Linked DNA regions of Saccharomyces cerevisiae S288C. The protein of the gene in region 2 interacts with the protein of the main gene of each other region in a biochemical or structural test. Each region holds a gene or a part of one and is shown on either strand. Other genes may lie near its edges. The genes, in order: STT4, YPP1 and EFR3.

The links.
Region 1: the proteins of YPP1 (region 2) and STT4 form a complex in vitro, tested with the Saccharomyces cerevisiae proteins (2 studies listed by BioGRID).
Region 3: the proteins of YPP1 (region 2) and EFR3 form a complex in vitro, tested with the Saccharomyces cerevisiae proteins (2 studies listed by BioGRID).

What each region holds. Positions count from the first base shown.
Region 1 is NC_001144.5:737,820-745,845, forward strand, and holds STT4 (1-phosphatidylinositol 4-kinase STT4), read right to left. Parts: upstream 6,045-8,026; coding exon 342-6,044; downstream 1-341. Other genes in the region: NEDD8-conjugating protein UBC12, read left to right, coding at 6,332-6,334, 6,469-7,032; chitin deacetylase CDA1, read left to right, coding at 7,801-8,026. UniProt on the Saccharomyces cerevisiae protein: Acts on phosphatidylinositol (PI) in the first committed step in the production of the second messenger inositol 1,4,5,-trisphosphate. STT4 functions in PKC1 protein kinase pathway.
Region 2 is NC_001139.9:892,724-897,749, reverse strand, and holds YPP1 (Ypp1p), read right to left. Parts: upstream 3,058-5,026; coding exon 604-3,057; downstream 1-603. Other genes in the region: dolichyl-phosphate-mannose-protein mannosyltransferase PMT6, read right to left, coding at 1-248; SNG1 (Sng1p), read left to right, coding at 3,610-5,026. UniProt on the Saccharomyces cerevisiae protein: Involved in endocytosis.
Region 3 is NC_001145.3:690,064-694,937, reverse strand, and holds EFR3 (Efr3p), read left to right. Parts: upstream 1-1,894; coding exon 1,895-4,243; downstream 4,244-4,874. Other genes in the region: CEF1 (Cef1p), read right to left, coding at 1-1,557; DML1 (Dml1p), read right to left, coding at 4,428-4,874.

The DNA.
Region 1 (8,026 bases), on a different chromosome or scaffold from region 2:
TAATTTCTCTATTGATTGGTCAGGACCTTTGCCGATTTCGGCGCCGAAATGCTCGAAAAACAAAGGGTATTGCCCGGCCCCGCGGACCTCCCTTTTGCGGCTCTCGGCCATTTTTTAGGTAATTTGACACCGTGCCCAAATGGCTTGGCACAATCGAGAATCAGGCACCCGCGTGTGACCGGCGTCATTCATTAAAGCCAGATAAGACAAAGTAAAATACAATGGATTATGATTAATACAATGATATACAAAAAGAGAGAAAATAAACGAAGGCTACGTCTGCGTAATTGACGATGGGAAACTGGTATTTTTATATAAGCATATGTAAAGTGCGAAGTATATCAGTACGGAATGCCATTTGTGAGCCTTTGGAATTCATCATAACCTTTAGTGAATATACTTTCATAACTTTTACGGATTAGCGCCTTCATATATAGTGCAGCTTCGTGATCGGTTTTTTGAGGTTGAAATCTTGCTCTTAGATTCCTAATTGTCTTGTGACCCTTAAAGCAGGGGAGACCGCTTCCTAACATAGGATTTACACACTCAATTATGGCCTCCACGTGCGGACGGGCGGCTAGATATGCCTTGATACAAAGTTCTTCAAAGTCCAGATACGCTGGGGTCTGGGGCGAACCTCCCATCACTTTAACCATTTCTTTCGTCAGCTTGAATGGTACTGCTTCAAACTTGATACCACCTGGGACAATATCAAAAATAAACCCAAAATCGATATGTAGACAATGTCCTTGATCATCGTACATAATGTTACCATTATGTCTATCCTTGAATTGCAACAAATACGAAATTACGCTATATCCCGCTAAGGATTTAACAAAGTTGTTTCGTGCGTTTTGAAATTCGATAGTAGATTCATTACCAAATTTACTAGTGAAATATTCATATAATCCATTAACAGCTTCACGTCCTAACATATCACGGGATACCGAATTGGGTAGCACATCGATGACACCACAACCCGGTGCCGTCGCAGTAACTCTGTAGGGAAAAACGTAGACATCCAAGCCAATACTAGACCAAATGGTTCTAAATAGCGAGATCAATTGTAACGCTAGAACATCTTGCCTACAGTCATCACCGACTTTGAAGATAGCAGCTTGCCATTTTTCAACTTCCTTGTTTTTACCTGTCAAAGGATCTTTTACGTCTTTCTTTATTTTAAAGGTCGCCATAAAAGGCGCCTTTGCGTGAGATTGAAGTGGCTTACCACTCTTCCGATCAATATCAATAACTACACCGTCAGGATTAGAAGGTAAATAAACATCAGGTTTCACCTCAATTTTGCTCATTTCTTCATCGATCTTATGTTTCTTTTCAGCCTTACTTTTTTTTATGTATGGTTTCAACTTACCAGATATGCCAGTTACTTCGTCGAAGAATTCAAATTCACGTTCGTAAAAATCGCGATGAGATTGGCTGAAACTTGAAACCATACGCTCCCTAATACGATCTAGAGTTGGTTTGATTTCATCTTCTTGTATACCTTCATCATCCTTGTAGCAGTTTGCAAGCATATTCCAGATTATTTGATGAGAAAATAACACACTAATTTTCGCAGTATCCAAAATCAATCTTTCGACATATCCGGTTTTATCGTATCTCAAACATTGTACGATTTGAGGAACATAGAAGAATGCCAAGTTCACATCTTGTGATTCCAACGAATATATGCTGAATTGTAAGATAAAAGAATTACCTTGCCATTCGGGAAGGAAAAGGTTGATAGATTTTAACGGGCTCACTGGCGCCCAGTATAAGGTTGCGTGTAGGTCTTTCTTACTGCTCAGGTGGCTTCCTTTTATGAACAGGTCAAGAGCACTTGGGGACCCCACACACATTAAAGCATGTTTTGCAACTAAGCCCACTAAAACATCCTCAGCTTTCTTGCTATAACATCGTTGTAAGAGATTTATTGCTAATGTTGGATCTTTAGCAAAGGTAGCTTCAACGATATCGCTTGTAAGCTCGTTGCTGTCGGCTCCTTCAATCTTCTCAGTCGGAGTAAGCCAGGTTTGAATCTGCTGGATTTCGCTTGCCAAGAAATAGTTCAGGATCTTGTAATCTTTCCCGCAATGACGTGACATTAGCGAGCTTAATTTGTTGAGCTGAAGGAAAAGGTCCCTAGTAACAGATAAATCTGCTTTGATTTTCAGCTCATTTGAGCCGAATGGCCACGCTACTGGTCTTTTAAACCAACTTAGGGCACCGTTTGTGATTTCTTGCGACAAACGGCCCATATACTTGGATCCCTGCTTATAACTTGCGTTTAGTACGAGAGTCGCGAATAACAATAATTCGTGGCGAATCATTCTAGCGAACGGGTGTAGTGAAGCCTTATACAGATTCTTGATACCATAAAGCGCACATTTCGTGAAAATTTTCAATAAAAAGTCACTTTGAAATAGTGTGCCCTCGAAATGGGAAGCAAAAAATTTAATAACATGAAGATGTGGTTGCATAGCTTGGGATGCATTTTTTGCATCTCTGTTGATACCTGCTTTGTCGTAAGGGGAATATTCCATTTTTTGGTATTCTTCGCCCTTTAAGTCATGATCGCGAGAATAGAGACCAATATTGTCATCAATGGAGCGCATCCAGCAATAGCATACTTCAACTAAAAGCAAATGTGCAACTTCGGGCTTCTCAGTTATGATTGTTAACCATACGTTTGTAGCAATCTTTAAAGATGCAGAGGTGAAGACTTCGAACGGGATGTGCACAATATCATATATCAATGACGCTGGTGCACCATTGCCAAGAATTAACAACGCGGTAGCCATATCAAGAAAATCAGTTACGTCTTTAGTTATAATCTTATTTCCTAAGGTCAAATTTTTTCTTATGTTTTGAGTGGAAATACCTATTTGCCTTTTGATATCCTCTGGTGATGATGTAATAGCGGTATCGAAAAGATATTTTGACCTCCAAGAATGTAAAGATATAAATCCAGAAATCGTGTTAGGTTTCTCTGGACCATAATAAGTAAGCCTTGATAATTCCTTATCTGCAGGTAAAATCAAACCAGCCATATCCATGGCAAATGAGACACCAAATTCAACAGAATTTAGCCTGCTGTACTCACCGAGATCTGATATGTATGATTGCAACAAAATCTTAGTATCCTGGTTGCTTCTATTCAATAGAATTCTTACCCATTCTTTAGCTGACTTGTGCAATCTTGATAGTGTCGTAGCGCGCCAGGACGATGAGCTTGGAACCAATATTGTTGTCTTAGAATGTTTTAATTTAAATTCATACCGTGGTTCAAATTTATGCGCCTCTGAGTCCAAGATACTATCAAATAGGGCTGTTAACATATCTAATAAGGTGTAGAGAGACAAATGATGACATAACGATGATGGAATAGATCTGATAAATATTTCACAGGCATGAAAAGCGGCATCCTGCAAAGTTGGTTCCCTATGAGAAAGGCAAAGTAGCAAGTTATTAAGTTGTTGAGCAATCATTTTGGAGTTGAATATGGCATCGTTACCCTTTTGAATCAACCTAGCATATTTTCTAATCATGGAAACCGACAAAACTGCAATACACTTCTCAATTGAACCGGAAAGAATGGAGGGGTCTGAGAAGTACAGTAGAGTCTTCGAACAATCACCTGCCTCGCATCTTATCGTTTCTAGAAGAACGGCAGCCGCTAAAAACATGATTTTAGACGATGAAGTTGTTCTGTACTGAACAATATTGGTATTGAAATATTCGGTTATCTGCTGTTTTTGTTGTTTGATATTTTCGTTAGATGAACCGCGGCGCAAAATTGTATTCATTTCCAATGAAAGCTCCTTGTTATTAGCAGGAAATTCAGAAGCCAGCGGTGGTGAATTATAGGCAATAGTTAATAAGAAAGAAAAATTTCGTTTGACAATAGGCCCGCCCAAGTGGTACCCATGGATGACAAAATTAAACCAGGCGTTCCTAAACTTGTTTGTAGTGACTTCATCCTTATTGATGTCCAATGGCGTATCGCCTGGAACAGGTAGTAGAGCGGCGAGGGGCTCTAAGTAGGTAGCGATTTGATCAGCAACACGGGAAATCTCCGTTTGAGGTCTGTGATGTTCCAATCGTTCTACTTCCCCACTGGCAATGATTGAGTCCAATAGATCATGAAGATACATGAAATATAAGTCACTTGAAAAATGCCTGGCCAACAATTCTTTTGATATCACACATTTCGCTTTAATAATATTTTTCAATAGTGCGCTATCATCAATTTTTGTTGCAATAACAGTTCTCGATTTGAAGAACTTTAGTAAAAGCGAAAATTCTGTCAGTGAAGTATTCGGAGCCAGTCTTGCCAAAGAATTCAAAATAACACCGTCTAATTCCTTTGACATAGAATTAACTTTTTGCGTAAGAATAGAGATAGTCAAAGCTGTTATGCTTTGGGTGTTATAGTATGAGGCGATTGTAGTCGTTGCAGCCACACAATTAGATATCAAAGAGGCATGGTATGTCATAGTAGCTCCACTATTGACATCATGGGAGGAAAGTTGGCCCACAGTTGTATTTCCGAGCAGAGCACCAGTGCCATCCAAACTGGCAGATGAATTTCGCAAGGGAAAGTAGTCTTTCTCAATATTTTTTCCAGATGTTATTGTTAATTGGCGCTCACGGAGCACCGGGACGGGCGATCCGTCCTCGGAAACAGCTAATAAGTTGTTCATGGAATAAATTGTACTCACAATTGCATCTTCATTTAGAGGGTATAACCCTGTGGTGAATATTTTTGCAACATCATTAACTGTTTCAGTCGTGATATGTGGAGACGCTACCAATAAAGGAAACATACGAATCAGAGTTAATGACAATTTTTCCGTGAAAAAATTCAGTAATGAGGCAGAAGCTACAATTGCTTTTATCAAAGATGGTGTAACGACATCAGATAAGAAAAATTTATCAATAGATTCAGAAACAACGTTTGTAAAACTTTCAAAAAGCTCGCTTTCTGTATCTTCTATAAACGGAATTAAACATAGCGTTTGTAGGTAGTGGGCTCGAGTATCAAAAGAAAATCTTGCACGGTTGTCTGTAGATAGGTCGAGAATATGTGACTCAGAACAAAATTGCAGGGAAATTTTACACATGTCTGTAAAAAACTGTTTATTGCTTCTTACGTTGAAAAAAAAGTCATCAATACACTTCGTATCATCGTTTTCATCGGCTACTTCTTGATCAAATTTGTAAAATTGGTATTGTTGATTTAGTAAGAACTCACTCAAGTTGGCGCCGACATGTGAAGTGTTTAACAGATGAGATATTAGCGAAACTTGCAAGCGAGATATTAATTCCAATAAGTAGGCACTGGATAGCTCATTTCCAGCATCGTAATACTGGACGATTGAATCATTGGTAAACGTTGCTGAGGAATTCAAAATCTTATCAACTTCGTTTAGAAATGATCCACGAAGCACAAGTTTCGCTAACTTTTTCCAGGTGAATTTAGTAAGCTCTGTAGAGTTGGGAAACTGGATAAATGCATTAATAAAGCCCACTAATGATAGTAGACCAGATTGTTTAATAGTAAAAATCTTTAATACACGCTCAAAATAAGTTGAAATGATGCCGCCTATATTTTCATAAAGAACGGGATACTGTTCACAAGCTTGAATCATAAACTTAGTCAGCTGGAAAGTTAGCAATTCAATCGGATTTCTCATCTGTTCCAACTTGAATTTCGAGGACAGAACATCTGAAATTCTTTGTCTTGGAGTTTCCAGAAAATAAGGCGCAATTATTTCTTTAAGCATTGTCTCTACCAGATCGAGCGTGGTAGGGATTGCAACACAAAGCGAAGTTAGTACTTCCCATTCACTCAATGTAAGTGGTATAGTATATATCTTTGACGTATTTGTGGAATAAAAAATAGGCAATGTATGAGTTATCAAATCTAATGTTGTACCATTACTGTTTTGATCATTTGGTGCACCCGTCGAAAGTTTAGTTAGTCTTCCAATAGCTTTCGCTCTTAAAGATGAAGAGGCTTTCAATCCTCTGGTAAATCTCATCTGCCTTAAACGAGTGGCGTTTTCGATTGCTGTAGTTATCTTTTTGTGATCTAATTTTTTTCTTGATTTACAATAGTTATTAATGTTGAATATGTTTTTTCCCACAACTCAAACATCTTCGCAGTATTCTTGAAAAAAAAAAATACTATTAACGTACCTTCATCCCTGCGCGTGCCGTTTGATGATATCAGCCAAAAGGTAAAATGAGATGAAAAAGGCCAATCATTCATAAATGTACTTAGAGACATTAAAGAATCAGTTAGAGAATATAAAACAAGATAATAAAAATGGTACGTAGATGCAACTATATCTTTCCGTTTCTCATTGGCGGTTTTTAGCGATCGAAAATACTAACATAATCTTTTTGGGGGGTGAGAATGTATATGTGTACTGGATATGTATATTCTTGGCTTTATTCAAATAGTTGAAATTACGCCAATTACAAAAGAAAAAGCAAAAAGAAAATGAAAACAGCAGTTCTATTCAGCCTAATTTATCGGCAGCAAGAATTCGTTTGAAAAGGGACCTTGATTCGCTGGACCTCCCACCAACAGTGACTTTGAATGTAATAACATCACCAGATAGTGCGGATAGATCACAATCGCCGAAATTGGAGGTAATTGTTAGGCCTGATGAAGGATATTATAATTATGGATCTATTAATTTCAATTTGGATTTTAACGAAGTTTATCCGATTGAACCACCAAAAGTTGTATGTTTGAAGAAGATCTTTCATCCAAATATCGATTTAAAGGGGAACGTTTGCCTAAATATTCTTCGAGAAGACTGGTCGCCAGCTCTAGATTTGCAGAGTATTATAACCGGGCTTCTTTTCTTGTTCTTGGAGCCTAATCCCAATGACCCGTTAAACAAGGATGCAGCAAAGTTACTGTGTGAGGGTGAGAAAGAATTTGCTGAAGCTGTGAGATTGACCATGTCTGGAGGTTCAATTGAACATGTCAAATATGATAACATAGTTTCTCCTTGAGTCAAGTTCAGAGTAATTTTCGGTTGATTTGATTATATATAAACAATAAAATTATAGATAATTGTGACATACTAGGCGAGTTGTCGCCTTGGTAACATCTTGCTACCGCCATCTTCTGTTAGTTTACGCCTTATGACCAACATTCCTTATATTCTCGTTCAAACTTTTGTCTCGATATTTTGCAGGTACCTGTAGAACTTAATGTGTTCTATTCAAAATAAGTATAAAATTTCTGGCCAGTAAAGGCAAACAAAACATAAAGATATTAATACGAAAAATTTCTTGAAGAAAACAAAAAATACTTCTTATAATAAAGAAACAGCGAAGCCATGGCTATTGACAAGATAATCAGGAAGGTGAGATACCCTGGATAGAAGACTAAGAGAGAGCAGGAAGTTGAAGAACGCAATCTCAGCTATCGCTAATTCTTACAAAAAATAAAGATATTACAACTATGGAAGAAAAAAATGAATGACTATACTAGTTAGTAATATTTAACAAGATAACGCTTTCTATTTTCTGTAAAAAAAATTCTGTCTCATGCACTTGGAAGCAGCTTCAACATTTCTCTTTTCCAGATGTCACATTTTCCGGACCGGCCGTCATTCAATCGCAATTAAAAGAGAAAAATACCAACAAGTGGGTTGATTTACTTTTGTGTTTTCAAAAAGACCAATAGTTCTAACAAAGTAGATGCTTAGAAGTAAGCAAAGTGGAATATAGAGAAACAAAATTAAGTGATAGATTTACTTTTACACAAGAAAAGAGATGAAAATTTTCAATACAATACAATCTGTGCTGTTCGCAGCATTTTTTCTAAAACAGGGAAATTGCCTTGCGTCAAATGGGAGTACCGCATTGATGGGGGAAGTAGATATGCAAACGCCCTTTCCAGAGTGGTTAACAGAATTTACTAATCTTACACAATGGCCTGGAATTGACCCACCTTATATTCCGCTAGATTACATAAATCTTACTGAAGTGCCAGAATTAG
Region 2 (5,026 bases):
TGTTGGAATCTTAGATAAAACGAAGTTATAGTTAATAAAAGGGGACCTATGACATCCCTTAAAATTTTCAACGCAGTGTATTCTTCATTTTTTTTTGTCCTATGTTTTTCTTCTAGTTGCTCAAAGCAATCTAATTGTTCATCTTGAATATCGGAGGCATTAGCTTTTGGTTGATTAACATAACGTTCGCGTAAGTTTTCATCTTCAGTATCAATTGATGAAAATCCCGTTCCCTTGGCTTTACTCATTGGTAAATAATAAGAAAAACAGTATGTTAGGACTATCGTTTGGTATATTAAACTGCCAAGAGAAGATAATTTAAAGAATTGTTTCAACGCGAAACGTGACTATAGCTAATGCTCTTTTCAAATTATTGAACTTATTACATTTATAAAAACGGGTAACCTAATAACGTCAAGTATATGGGCAAAACCGTTATTGAAGAGAAGATGTTCCATTGTTCATCAAATTAATATAAATCAATGAATAATATAATACAACTAGATTGAATTACATCTTTATGCTTTCTATGAGTATCTTTACACCAGAATATACTTGCGCCCATATGTATATATGTGTGTGTATATATCAGAAGAATTATCGTTAGTAATTGCAATACCTTAGGGAGCGAATGGGATTCAACTCTTGGTATTTAATACATTTTAGCAAAGAGTTTTTGTACTCGTCATCTTGATATTTCTCGTAAATGAGGGACAAATACCACCAAACTTCTGGGGAATAGTAAGCCTCGATCGATTCTAGTATTGCGCACTCCAATAGAAATTTTAGTCTTGCATACGCTGCTGACCTATCTGTGTCATTAACGAACGTAAGTTTGGCCCTCTTACCTGGTTTTTTATCAAGGCTGAGAGTATAATAACGCTCAAGATTAGTTTCCTCGACGCCTAGTTCTTCAGGGAAAATTAATTCAGCGAATCCGACCAAGGCATCTAAATTATTCTCATCATAGTACAGAACTGTTTCAAATTCCTTTAATGCCACGCCTGGTTCATCTTTTATTATTGATAAATAACCGTTAGCAATATTACAATTTAAATTCTTGAATTTACTTTCGACATTGGAGGCTTCTTTGATGGCGGCCTTGGCATCCTCATCATTGTCTTTTGTTCTCATGTACATATTTGCAGCAAAAATCCACACCATTTGTAAAAGATATTCTTTAGTTTGAGAATATTTGGGACCCATGCTGTTCAATTCAGGTTGTGAATCTGGAAATAATGTTGCGTATAATTCAAAGACCTCTGGAAGTGTCTCCAGTGCCTCTAAAGTGCCAAAAATTTCTTCAATTAGCGCCAATTGCGTTAATTTTAGGTGAATAAATTGCCATCTATCATTCAGAAGTAAAGTATTGTTCTGAAGACTTTCATTCATAGCTTCTAGAACAGAGCAAACTATCTTGTACGACATTTCCTTATCCTCTTGCACAGACCTACAAAGAGCTAATAGATGCCAAGCTTTGTAGTAATTTGGGTTTTTACTTAATATCAATGATTCTAGAGTCTTGATTGCAGTTTCAATGTGCCTCTGTTGTGCTAGAGTGTAAGAATATTTAAATTGTAATTCACGTAATGCCTTCTCCTCCTCTCCTTCTTCCTGCTCTTCTACATCAGCATTGTCTTTTTCTTTTGTGGACAGCATCATTGCATTACATAGATATGAAGTCAAATTATTAGATACAAGAAAATCTAACTGATATTTTCTGATTTCGTACAATGTTGACCACGCATTTGTTAGAACTTTCGAAATGTTTCCTGGGTATACACATCTGGTGCTGTTTTCTAGCCAATCTAAAGATTCTGATTGGCTCATTAATGGCAAATTATATTCTTTGTAGAAGGAATTCAAGGAAGTCGCAAACGTAGATACCGTATTATCGTAATCAAAAACATTTTCGATTGAATCGGTTTTGGAGGAGTTTTGTAAAATAAAAGAATACGCATCAATGAATGAAATTATGTCACGGTGGGAGTTATCGTGCAGTTGATAGTACTTGTCGTTGTATTTCACAAAATTAACAAAATTTAGTATAGATTCTCTTTTAAATGTCTTCTTCTTTATTTCGTCATTACTGTTATCGCTTAGGTTTTGGAAAAGAAACATTGCTGTTTTCGAAACTTCAATACTTTGAAAAGTCTTTTCCATTGAAGATATTATGAAATTATACCAACTGGGATTCACTTTTATTTTTTTTATGTGAGTGAATTTGAAATAATACTGCAAAAAGACATTAAAATGCTCCAAAGCTTCATCATTTGTCTCACTAGCAGTAGGAAATTTGGCCTTCAACAAAACGTTCTGTCCGAACTTCAAATAAAGATCATCATTATCAATGTGCTTTTTGAGAGGTGACTGGAACTTCTTTATCATGTAAAGGAAAAGAATAAAAGGATTTTCGACGGTAGTTTTAAAATTTTCTGCTAAATCCTGAATTTGATTGAACCTGAGTTTTGCGACGATCAAGCTGATGTATTCGAAAAGAAGACCGTTTGATTCGGGAGGGATCGTATCCACGTGGGCCAGTAGTTCTTTGTAAAAAACATTTTGCATGATATTTATGTCTTGCGAAACTAGACCACGGTAGTACAGGTTTTCTACGATCAAATACCTATCATACTGCTCCATAAGTGCTGTTTTTTGCGATGCAGTGTTATTATGAATTTTCAACGAGTGCAGCAAGCACCGCTGCGATTCCTGAAATTGGCCCCTGTGGAAGAAAAGAATACCGAGGCAATTGAACAGAATTTTCTCCACTAGTTTTGTAATCTCCGGATAGTCATTCAACTCCTCCATCATACTCATATTCTTTTCTAAATTTTGACTTTCCTTCAGTAAAACATCACAAACTGGTTTTGCAGGCCCATTCGATCCAATAACATGGTAATGTAGTCTAAACTGTAAGTTAAGTACGGAATCTAAACTATCAAACCCTGAATTGAAGGTGCTGCCACCTAAGAGTCGCGCTCTTAGCGCTTGGTCGACCACATCTATTATCTTCGATGGAACAGTAGGAGGAATCCGAACATTTGAGTTAGGCATTGGGCAAGTTGGTATTGAACTTCTTTCCAGCTGGCGTGTTCAACTTGTTCCTTCCAGTATGCCACACATTATGCCTTGCACACCTAAAGCACATATTTTCGTTATTTTTCACCACAATAGGTGGATCTCGAAAAGGATGGAAAATCAGGAAAAAGAAATGTTGAGAAAAAAATAAACCGATTCCCGTTTAGTTTTCTCCTATTTCCGTGTATATGCGTGGTTATTCGTTTTCGAATCCTTTTATGAATGTCCGAGGAGGTGGTACAATCCGAAATAGACTAAAGAAAAGCGAAAGCCGTGAGTTTGTTTGATGATAGATGACTCGCAGCTTTGTCATCAACGGGCCACCCTATTCGAAGAAGGGAATGGAAAACGGACTGGCGTAGTCAATAAGCGTCTTCATATCTTAGCATTGTTGAGAGATACATAGTGTACTCCATATCGTTCTTTTTTTTTGTATATATCAAGCCACATATCCTGTTTCTTTAATCTTTTATACGCCGTAAGAATCGGGTACTGACATAAGTGTAAGTAGCCGTACAGAGAACAAATATGACTAAATCGGTTGGTGATGAAGAGTCACAGTACATTGAGGACCCTAGTTTTGCAGCAGCAGCTGCATTTACTGGCGGCAGGGACGGGGTTTCGTACAGTAATCAGCGATTTGCTGAGGGTTCCGGCCATTCTTCTGACTTAGCAAAGTCATTAGAAGACTATCGGCCTCCTGATGAAAAGCCGTCCTCATTGTCATCTGTGGGGGAAGGTGGCGCTAATGAGGAAGAGAAGGGCGGTAACGACGGCGGTCCCTTGGCAAGAATTCAAACAGGGCTTTTTTCTCCAAGACTGCGAAATCATAGGAAAAAGATTCTCTCGAAGTTTGTTTTGAACAACTTCTTCATTGCTTGTGTGTGTGTATCGCTCATATCGATTTACTGGGGTGCCTGTTACGGAACAGATCGTTACTTTTTCAAAGTGAAAAATATTGTTGTATTGCAGGATGCGCCATCTAATACTTCAGTTCAATCTATTTCCGCGATCATACCCTCATTGTTAGCGTCTGTCCCCGGGACATGGCATATATACAACGCAACATCATTTCATAGGAAATTTGGTACGACGAACTCCACCGAAATTGACAGAAAGATAGTCGATTTAATTTACGATGAGAGATACTGGCTGGCGTTAAACGTTAAACCTAATGCTACAGACACTTTGTATAATTCTTTGATTAGCCAAGACGCAAACTCGGAGTTCAATTCATCAATTTTTTTTGAATCCGTGTTTGAAAGTGGTCGTGACCCATCGAGTGTTAAATCGACCATTCTACCACTCATGCAACAATTGGAGGTCCGCCTTCAGAAATATTACGTCAAGGAATATCTTCCCTCATTGATGAGCAACATCACTTCTAATGACAGAGATCTTAATATAAACATGGAGAACTGGGCGATTGCAGGACAGTTGTTGTTCACCTACAACGATTATCGTCCCTTTGCTGATCGTATTCTAATGGCCCCTCTGCAGGTCGGTCTGATTTATTGTATTTTGTTAACCGTTTTACAACTGTCATTATATGGTAAGTTGCACGGAGAAATGGCCAGAGTTCTGAAGCCAAAGCATATTTTAATCTACAGGCTTCTAATTTCCTGGGCAACTTATTTTCTTCTTTCCATTGGATTCTGTACCGTATCTGCAATTTTTAGGATCGATTTCACCCCCGCCTTTGGCAGAGGAGGATTCGTAGTATATTGGATGTCTACGTGGTTGGTAATGATGGCTGTTGGTGGTGCCAATGAAAACGTTCTCAGCTTAGTTATAGCTTACTGCCCTCCATACCTGAGTATTTGGTTGATGACGTGGATCATATTAAATATTTCTGCTTCATTCTACCCAATGGTTTTGAACAACGAATTTTACAGGTACGGCTACATAATGCCAATCCATAATGCCGTGGATATCTATAAAGTGA
Region 3 (4,874 bases), on a different chromosome or scaffold from region 2:
AGACTCCACTTTTGATTGGATCGATTCCAGAAGAACCTCAGTTGGGGGCATTGCTGTTTTGAATTGTATTTTCATGGAAGTGCGCCCTTGGGTTATATGCTGCATACGCGACTCCACCTCTTTGAGAAAATCTACCGTATCTTCTGGTACCATGTGAGGTTCTTTGTTTATGGCGTTCGCGACTAGCAAGTTGTACTTATTGTCAATCGCGGACTGCGGATTGTTTTTGAATTCTGGTATGGGTAGCGTTGAGTAAGCTAATGGAACGGCTACTAATGAGACGCGTGGCGCATCATTTTGAGATGGTGGTTCTATGAAGTTGTCCTCTTCATTCATCGCTCTTTCATTTTCAAATTCTTTCTCGTATTCCGCTATCTCTGCATCTTCTTCTTTCTCGTCTTCACTTAATACAATTTCGAAATCGTTCTTGGGACTAGGCAAAGATGCGAACATTTGCACTAAAAATTTTCGTATGCGTGATTTTAGCTGTTTACCACTCTTTATATTACTGCGTTCATTATCTTCTTGGCCGGAGTCGTGGGGTAGTAGTTCTTTTGGTGTCAACACAGTGCCAGTTGCTTGTGCCTCGATTAGTTTTTGTCTTTTGCTTTCTAGCTTTTTTTTATAGGTGACTTTTCCCTGTTTCGTTCCTGGTGCAGATAGTATAAGTTTTGGTTTTTTATACTCATCCGTCAATGTAGTAGATTCACCCAGTGCTGCTTTCTCAACGTGTTCGTTCTCATCGTGTTTTCTTTTTTTGTCCTTATTTTTTTTACTTGGCTTATCCTTATTACCATCCAAACCTTTTCTGTTGACTTTTCTCTCAAACTGCTCAAACTTCTTTTTTATCTGGCGGTCTTCAGTGGACGTGTCATATATACCTGGCATGGGAGCTTGTTCATATACTATATCTTCATTGTAATCAATGTCGGTGCCGTATTTTTTTTTCGGTTTCTTAATGGCAACATTAATTCCTGCTTGCTTTAGCTCACGCCTCTTTTGTAGTTCAGCAATGCGTTTTGATTCTTCGAGCATCCGCTCTCTAATCTTTCTTGTAGCCTTCTTACCTTGGGTATTTAACAGACGAGCCCTAGCTTCAGCAAGCATTTCCTTTTCCTCATCTTCCAAATCACCATTATCTGGTCTAGCCATTTGAGTTTCAGCGTTAGGATTAATATCCCCGGCTTTCAAGTCAGTAACTCCTGTACTTAACGCAGCCCCTCCACTGTCTTCACTTTCTAATAGCCTATTATATCTTTCGACGCAGACCTGTGCAGGCCTGGCCATCATATCAGCTATGGTCCTCCACTGATTAGGCAGCTCTCTTGCAAGATCTAGAAGTTGGGCATCCTCCTCCTTCGAGAACTCTGTAAAATTCAACTTTGGATTTAAATATTCATTCCACCTTAATTCACTCTGCCTGGCAGTCTTTTTCTGCAAAAGGGATGCTACTTTGCTCCACTGATGAGTTCCGTATTTTTGTACAGCCGCTTTAAGAATCTGATCCTCCACATTGGTCCATACACCGCCTTTCACGTATATTGGTACGGGGGGCATCTTGAAATGCTAGTATAGTCCTCTTAGAAATGTTTTGCTTTTTTTCTTTACTATCTTCCTGAGTCGCATATGCTTTTTTGTCATAATAGTTCATAGCATTAATTTTTCATTAAACTTCAACCCCGGCCAAAGGAAGAGGAAGAAAATTTTGTTCGAACTACTAGGAAGGTAATGGTTTTGTTGAAAAAGCCAGGCAGCCAGGATAAATTGAAAGTATTGTGAGCAACCCCGCTATTGGAGTAGTATTAATTCAGTGGCAGACTGTATATTGAACCCAGATCATTCGCTCTATTATTCATCTTTCGTTCATTTTCAATTGTTCTGAAAGTGGTTTGCGATGCAGTTGTCTATGCGGATGATGTTCACACCAAAACATCAGAAACTGGTCAATCAATGTTATCCTACGGGAAGGACCACAGATAAGAAGCCTAAATCTTCGGAAACTTCATATTTGCTATATTACGTTAACTCGAGGCGTAGTAAATTGGAGAAAGTTAGCACTTACCTGATTAAGCGTTCCACTTCCGACTTGAACCATCGGCGCATAGGGAACATAGCCGTTACATTGGATTTAATGAACAAAATTGTGTTGCATTGTAAGGAGAATTTGAATGTATTTGTTAAAGATTTTTTGTACATTATGAACAAAGTTCTTTCCAACAACAATTTTAACAATGATGTATCTGTTGTTGAATTAATAGAACTGGCATTTAGTAGTATATGCCAGAACTTGGACGACGTCTTGTGTAACGGTGACATGGAATTCGTCCAGTTATACCAGAACTTTGTTGATCTTTTTTTTAAAATAGTTACTGAAAGAATTCATAATGATGACATGCTTCTGAAATGCTGTATTGATATATCAAACACAAATAGTGTTTCAAGCAACCCACAACTAAACCACTTTGTTTCCAAGTCTGTTGCCTATACTATTTCAAAGTTCCAAGAGAGAAATCCGAAATTTAAAACTTTGTCGCTGGAAGCAGCTCTGGAGAGCAATTTAGGAAAAAGGCTAAGTCGAACACAAACTCGTACAATTGGGTTAGATAAGGCCGCCGAAGATAATCATGACCTTTCAGTAAAAGCATTGCAATCCTATTTTAACACAACTGAGACAGACAAATTGAATTTGTCTATTCGTACTCTGTTGCGCTGTCTGCAAAGTACACCTAATAAGGAACTGCTAGAGTTTGTATGCAATGGTATACCTGTTCAGTTACGATATATTGTTATACTTCTTTTGGTCAGACAACTAAGCGACAAGGATAAAAATGTAAATCCAATTGTTTCCTTGAAATTGATGTCGTCATTACTTGTTTCAGATGTCAGTATAGTGGGGTTGAGTGTTCTTGATATAATGAGAAAGCTTTTAAATTTCCAGTTGAAAAATGCAACTAATAAAGAAGTTGTGGCACAGTCTTGTATCACCATGACAGACCTTAACCATAAAACTTATTACGCTGAACAGACCTCAGATATGTTATATGAACTACTATTGAAATTGAAAAGTGACACCGTCAAGGATGTTGAAAAGAATGCAGTTGTGGAAGATATTGATTTCCTCGTTGAACATATTACGCAGCCAAGTATCAGTTTGGAATTATTCATCGACTTGGCGCATTACATGAAAAACCACATTATATGTTTATTTAACATTGTTGAAACTGAGGTTCCAAGCAGCATTCTCTTTTCAAAACTGTACTCATTATTACGTGAACTGGATTCACATGGTGTGCAAAAAGAAATGATGGAAGAGATCTTTGACAAGTATGGAAAAATGGCACTATTATCCGGTTTGAATTATTTTCTAGAGAACGTTTCTGAGCCTGAGTATACCTATTATTCGTACCATTTACAAGCAGCTAACTTTTTAAAACTCAATGACTACAAGTCACAAACTGAGTACAAAATGCAAACTAGAACTTTGTTTACCAAGGAAGATTTATTGTCATACTATTCTGATACTGGATCAAATAAATACAGCAAGAAGGGGGCGCAGATTTTATTGTCTCGTGATAATCAAATTTCTACTTCTGATTTACTGTCGGACTCTCAAGTTCGTACTACACCTCTGGAGTACAAGAATGTCCCTAATGCTATTTTTTCAAATGGGAAAGCAGTGTATGATAACAACGATTTTGCGGCCAAGCAAAATAAATTCGACAACAGCATAGATGACAATATAGAAGAAGCTAACGATACTGTAATTTCTGATGCTAATGCAAAAGGTAGTATCTATAGGTTTGTTGCTGAGGACGCAAGATCATGGAAAACAATGAGAGCCACCGCACCAAAAGTTAGCGATTTGAAAAAAACTATGAATGAAAAGAATATTCCAAATAATATGAAAAGAGATGGCTCTTTTCGGGGTTCTCAATCAGTGAAATCTCGTGTCACTAATATCACATTTTTATTAAATGAATTGAAAACTTTTTCAGATGACGCGAATAAAATCAAAGATCCTGATGAGGAGAATATTGTTGGCTTGGATAAAATCGACGTTGCTAGATCAAATTCTCTGCGACTTGCACCAATATCTAGTCTTTCTGATCGCAGTAGCATTGGAAATAGAAAATCCTTTTTGCAAAAAACAGCAACTGGTGAAAATCAAAACGATGACTTTAAAGACGCAAATGAAGATTTACATTCTTTAAGTTCAAGAGGTAAAATTTTCTCCTCCACTTGAGAAATTAAGTTTTTGACGGACAGCTGTGGATGCTTTCAAGGGCAAGAGTGATATAGCATGACTTTCTAATTAATGTAATTTACGTAGATATAGATCAAATGGCGAAGTAAAAACTTCGAAAAAGATGGAAGAAGTCCTGTTTGCCTCAACTGGAGAAAGGAAATACGTAGCTGCAAACTGCTTATCACATATCGTCATCACCAGAATCTTCGTCTTCATACCACCCAGATTCGTACGCTGAGGCGTAATCGGAAAGTTCATTTTTCAATTCTTCTCTGTCACTATCATTTTTGAAGTACCTTACCACAAACTCATTCCAATGTTTGAATATATCTCGATTTTTTTCAGATGATTCTAATTCCAAAACAAATTCACGATCATTGGAAAATTCTGTCGGTATCGTATCAGATGGAAAATACCTGTGTGTATACATTTCAATCATCTTACTCCGTGAATCAGGTTCGGAATGATGTTTATGCGTTTGATTTCCTCTATCAATGAAACTTTTTGAAAATATGTGAGTAGAATTTGGTTTGTGGCTATTCTTGAAAGGAAGTACTCGAGAACAGAATGAGTAATCGGTGTCACCGATAACCATGCCAGTGACCATATTTCGCGACGAATATCCTAA